Saccharomyces cerevisiae S288C: one gene and its partner. The protein of the gene in region 1 purifies or fractionates together with the protein of each later gene. This does not show direct contact. Each region holds a gene or a part of one and is shown in the gene's direction. Other genes may lie near its edges. The genes, in order: NRS1 and YLR257W.

Evidence for each region.
Region 2: the proteins of NRS1 (region 1) and YLR257W purify together in Saccharomyces cerevisiae (affinity purification with mass spectrometry, with the first as the bait; one study listed by BioGRID). This does not show direct contact.

Annotation. Positions count from the first base shown.
Region 1 is NC_001144.5:247,546-250,714, reverse strand, and holds NRS1 (Nrs1p), read left to right. Parts: upstream 1-2,288; coding exon 2,289-2,615; downstream 2,616-3,169. Other genes in the region: OSW2 (Osw2p), read left to right, coding at 1-1,998; IES3 (Ies3p), read right to left, coding at 2,762-3,169.
Region 2 is NC_001144.5:657,179-660,595, forward strand, and holds YLR257W (uncharacterized protein), read left to right. Parts: upstream 1-1,647; coding exon 1,648-2,613; downstream 2,614-3,417.

The DNA of each region.
Region 1 (3,169 bases):
ATTCTCACTAAGGATATTAAAGAGCTGCACCACAAATTAAAACATAACGGTGCAAATACGTATTCAATTGACATTGTGTTAGTGTCTGCAATTTCCTTACAGTCTTTCGAAACAACTTGTCGATTGTTGTCAGATTACACGAACGACAATACGACTGTGCTTATTAGCACTGATTTTGGTTGCGAACTGGAGCCCATAGCCATAAGTTATTTTGGAGGGAAGTGCAAGTGTGTTATTTCCATTTCGTGTGAGGTTGAATGCAGACAGTTATCGCTTGGATCATATGCATTGGTCAACGACGATCAATGTGTAATAACTTTGGGATTAACTTATTGTGATGCTAATTTTGAAGCAAGTCCAACCATTCTGGAAAACACGAAAGCAGCTTCGTTAGAATTGCAAGGGATTAAGGGTTCAAATGTTCGCAGGTTCCTTCTTGGATTGACCGTTGCGAAATGGATGAAATCTAAATTAATTTTGGACCCAAAACAAATGGCATTGAAAATGTGGGAATTGCTTATTCCTAAAATCTCACTTAACATCCTTTCTATCATCTATGAACAATTTGATTATGAGAAAATGTTAGAAAACAAATCCACAGAAATTATTTTTAAAGATCTGGTGAAAGAGTTACTTGGAATTTGCTTTGCACAATGTGGAAGCAAAATTGCAAGGTTTTTGCTAGTAAAATCACAAGGTGAAGAAGAGATTAATTTTGGGAAAATCGTAGAATATTGCAAAGGTAAAAAACTGCAACTTATCAACTCTACGGCAAACGAACATCCGGAATATTTATCCTTACCGTTTGAGCCTTATTGTTTCTACCACCGATTTGAATATCCTGCTCAAATTCTTTTGCATCAGCCCATCATTTTGGCCAAAAAGTATGGTGTTTCGTGTTCAAATTTAAATTTCCTATATGGATTCTATACGAGGTTACTGACACTAAGTGGGCTATCAATAAATGGTGGAAGGTGTGAGCATGCCTTGTCGATGTTGGACAGCAGGATTGGTGGTGGTATTAACGTTGCTTCAGGAATTAATAGCGGCCAAGATTTTACCGATGGTGATAACGAGGATCAAGATAAAGGCAAAAACAGAGTGGACAAAAATGTAAAGGAAGGTTCTTTCATTAGTTTAACACAACGATTCACGATGACAAGTCCACTGGGTGTCAATGATCCAGCTTTACCAGCGGACTTAGAAAAGTTGTATTTAGGTGCAGAATACATTAGCAATTGCGACGCAAATACATCTGGTGGTCAAAAACGAGTAAAATCTCCAACTAAAGCAGATACAGGCTACGATGATAAACACTTGCCTGATGATACGATACATACATTTGAAGATGAATATTTGGCCGATGAAGACGACTTTTCTTGCCTTGGAATTGACAAAAGAAGCTCAACAAAGCCCACAAAGCCTCTAGAAAAATTTGGAGTGGTTGCTGTGCCACACTTCATCAGGAGGTTTTCTATTAAAAGGTCGAGTAAGGATAAATCAAATGATATGAAAAGACCATATACTACAAGCAGCTTGGAGTTGCAATTAAGGTCAAATCACTTTATGTTCGCCAAAGAATACCAAGACTTACATAGACAATTATATTACGAAGTTAAACCAAGGACGCAATCAGAATTGGACGCAAGACGTCGAAACTATTCTGAATTAGAATCTCAGATGTGGAAAATTAAACATCGGTTCAATATTCATAGAGGAGCACTGCCTCGTCCACGAACGAATCCGTATGAGCTATTACTGGACCACATTGATGTTTTGAACCGTGGCAACACTGGGGATATTTTGAGATTTACCACTAGTAGATACGGTGGTGTAGATACGTATGATTCCATCTTGAGGGACCAATCCACGATCATGGAACTTTTAGATAAACGGTGTGCCTATTCACCTCCAGTACTGTTCGATAATGAGGCTAAAGAACGTGATCATGATCGCGATTGTTATCAAGATTACAATCACGACCACCGGAGTCATTAATATTAAAAAAAAAAAATGTGATTGTTAATAAGGGGTGGGATGCGCGAAATTCTATGCCTACAGTAGAAAGCGGTTGTTGCACAAATGATTAAATCTTTATCTCCAACTCACAATACTATCGCGATAGATGCATAATATGTGCAGCTTCTAAACAGCACGGAGTGATGATAAATACGCATATATGTATATATATATGTATGTGCATATGCACGTCCTTTTAAAACTCAAAATACAACATTCTTAGTAAATCCTTTTGTTGACACACGTCGGAACAACTCAGGACGGAGTTAATGGATATGCTTCATAATAAATGTAGTGATGCTATCAAAAGCACCTCCAATAGCAATTTGAGTAATGAGGTAGACAAACAAAAATTGCAATACGATGACCTCGGGAACACCGGATTTTCTGAACTATTTGAGATGGAATCTCAAGATAATAATGATAGCATAGAGGATTTCTTGTTCTTTAATATAAATTTAACCCAGGAGGTTGAGTTCGAGAACCAAAGACAATATGAGCACACGAAAAAGACAAAGAAGCATAACCCATTCTATGTACCGTCAGAGGTAGTGCGAGAGATGGTCAAGAAACACGCATTGAATGGCAGAATATAGTTAAGCCCGATAACACATTCTATTTTTCATGTTTTAATAACGTTTCATATATGAATTTTTCTCAAATATACGATATATACCTAAATGAATATGCATATGGAAGTGAAGTTGGGGATTTTGCAAACTTGTCTTATGTTAATCTTGGCTTAAAGAATGTTTTCCAAAAGGCCGTTCTTATTAATTTTTCTTCTCTTGGTTCTGTTAAATGCTAGTGAATTCGCATTGACGTTCGTTGGTATGGCTACTGCTCCGAATGCGATTGGATGGCTTGCCTTCCTGCCACGATTACTGAACAAATCGAGTTCTACATTTGCATCCAACAGTAGTTCTTTCAATATAAACCACTTTCTTTCTTTCTGTGAAAGTTTTTGGTACTCTTCAAGCAAGTTCTCTTGGATTTTGGTCAGTATATCAATTTTTTCATCATCTGATAAGTCAGGGTCCTCAGTTTCTTGGTCCTGCTCCGCTGCATTTAATGTTACAATTTGGTCATTGACAGCTTGTAAAAAGTTGTCATTCATAGCGTAAAGATTGTCCTTGTACAACCTTGTCTT
Region 2 (3,417 bases), 410 kb from region 1:
AAAAATTAGTTTAGATCCGAGATTCCGCGCTTCCACCATCAAGTATGATCCATATTTTATATAATATATAAGATAAGTAACATTCCGTAAGCTGATAATCCCTTTTGGCAACTCGTTACTTCCCAAAGACTGTTTATATTAGGATTGTCAAGGGACCCCGGTATTGCTCGAGCCCGTAATACAACAGTTGTCTTTCACTGCTCTCTATGTTTTGAGACCTCCAGTTCACCACATATATTCGATCTTTTTCTTACTGTTGAAGCAAGAATCTGTTGGAATGAAGGCCTAGTATTGTCTATTGACTAATATTCATCTTACTAGTATATTATCATATACAGTGTAAGAAGATGGCATAAAGATTGAGAACCAGTCATCAGACTAATGAAAGCTGAAATGCAAGGACTGATAATGTAATGGGATAATGAAATATATAAAACGGAAGGAGAAATAACCGTGATATTATTATGTAGATTTACCGACTCCACTTGGAGGATTTCTCTATTCTCGAGGGAAACTTGGTATATTCGTACACCTAATATTATAGCTCTTGATAACAATGAAATTTCAACAATTATTCACTCAACCCTCAAGTGTATATCGCCAAGATCCTAATCACCCCTCTCTGGTGGCCTTCCCTCATTGTTTTTACACAGAACAAGAATCCATAAAATCAAGATATTGGGAACAATTCATTGTCTTAGGAACAAGTTTTTATAATTTAGTTTCATTAGCCTATTGTAACTTCTTGTTTTTTTTTTTTATTTTGGCTGGCAAAACAAGAAGTATAAAGAAGTTACCACTGCTATAACGTATATCTTAAATCAAGTGGGCAATTCTTCGAATAAACTTAGAGGCGCTGAAGAAAGAACCGCTCAATTAGTTCGATCATACAAAATACAGATATTGCGCTGTGTATTATCATTACGGAAAGTGTGATATAAACAATGCTGTGTTGTATTCGGTCTTTTTTTTCCGCCTGGAGATTGTCGTTTTTGTTTTTTTTTCTCGTGTAGCTGCAGTTATCATCGTTTTGCATGTCTGTTCTGTCGGTGAAGCCGATCTCATGGCACTTCGCTTTGATACCGTAAAGAATCTTCTTCATTAATACGGCACTGCAAGGCGATATCTATCTCTGGGGTTAGGACTGATAAATAGGTACTTATCAGTTATCACTAGAGACGAACTGTTTACGTTTTGAAGCTCGACAGCAGGGGTTCTTAACGGGCGTCGGCCTAGACCTCACCTTGCGAGAAATTTTTAGTTCATATCCAGGGGATGGTGAATGGTTGGATCTGACGAAGCCACGGTAAGGGCAAGGCTTTGCGCATGCACTGGCCACTATGCATACCATATATAAATAGATAATCAAGCGTATAGAAAACGACATGCTAAGTTATTTTACTCAGTGTTAGGTCTCTTAGTATTTGCGTCTGAAAAGATCTTAGCTCTGTCTTTGACTCTATCACTTATTTTTAAGAGGTTCTCTATTCGTCAGTGATAGAAATAGCATTTTGACCCGCACGACATTGGTTAATAAGAGTACTTTTCCACGTGTTTCGATTGCCTTTATTTTTAGCATACTTGAAAATAATATTATCGTGAGATTTAGGTAAAATATACCACATATCAAGAGAAAGAGAAGTAAGAATGGTTGACGCTAGGGGTAGTACGCCATGTTTAATTGGTGATTCTATAAGAAACGTTAATGATGGAAATAGTCTGGATTTCCAGTATACTAATCAGTTTAATGAGGAAAGTGAGGCTTCGAGGTTACTAACGCCACAAACGAGTTCCAATCACGCCCTAAGCAAGATGCAGAAGGATGATGATATTCGAGATAGATCTTATACATCTGTAGCGGAATTGAATCGTGAGGGTGCTTTGCTGACCGACGAAGTTGATTTGGAGAATGTTGATGCTTCGAAAGTTCGCAGCAATAGAGACGACCTAGAGGCAGAGGAGAAAAGGAAAAAACTACTCTTGTTGAAAAAAAAGCAAAGAAATAAATCCATCAACTCGGAAAGTTTTTCCTCTCCTTCTCTGCGTGCTTCCAAATCTAATTCACTGATTACATCAACTGATCCTGTCGAAGATCACATCAGTAAGTACTCTTCATCAGGCACCCCTGAAAATATTACAGGTGAGGCAGACGACGAAGACGAAGACATAATCAGAAACTCTTACGGGCAAATGATCAAAAACAATTCCAACAGGCCACATTTGGCGAAGGGTGAATCGTACCAGTCCGCAGAACAGGAAATAGATCATACGGCGCCTGAAAAATCAGAGAAAAGACAAGAAAGAAGCGGTAGATCCTTTGATAGACAAAAATCTTCGGCTGAGTTTCTAAGATCCTTATCGAGGTCAATAAGTCGTGGACCCACAAAGAACAAAACGGTTTCGCCCTCTAAGGGAGAAGACTCTAGAATGTATAGTACCAGCAACTACTCTATATCATTAGTTGATTTGGAGAACGGACCCAAAATTATCCCGGAAACTTTAGAAGAAGAGCAGGAGGACGCCGAAAAGGAGGGTGTTTTGATGGAAGACGAGGGTAATGAAGAATACACCAAAGATTTGGAAGAAGCAGCTAACAAAGCTCAACCACAGTAGAATGGAATATTGAAACTGGAGTGACTTCTGATGAAGTTTCCAATTATTTATATGTATACATTATTTATTTGTCTATCATTAAAATTTCTGTCAAGTAATGGCTTTTTATGTTTATTTCATGGATTACGAAATTTGCTGGCTTTTTAGAGTGACCGATGAGTTGCATGTACATATGTGCGAAATAAAACAATACGGTAGTAAAACATGAATACTTCGAGAAGTAAATTCAAGATTGCAGGCGTAGCACAAGAATGTCCTTCCGCCTGCTAGTGTGTTGAGCAAAGCACGCCATCACTAATGGAACCCTTACAAAATCTCGCATGGAGCAGCAAACCTTAAATCCATTTTCTATCATTCGTTCCTGAGGACCCGGATATCGTTTTAGAGACAAAAATAGATACTACAAGAGGAATAGGGATATCTGCACATGGGGCCTCGAGCATGGCTCATTTTCGATTTTCCGGCACGATGCTGACTTAGTACTATCATGCCAGGCAGGACAGGCCTTATGGGGTTCTTGCAGCTTACCAATTCTGACACTGGACTGCCCCTGGATTAGCGACCCCGCGACCCCGCGACCAGACTCCCTGAAAATGGTAATTGGTGATGATATATGTGACTGAGTTCAGCCTGGGCATACAATGTTTAACCCTTTTGGACATGGAATTAGGCCAGCAAAGGGAGCAGCTTTCCCCGAAAGCGTAGTTTTTCTCCAGGAACGCAATTCACCCCTTTCTTTCTTATGCAAGCTCCTCGTACATATATAAAAATATATGAGTATATATAGTGCTTCTACAGCATAAT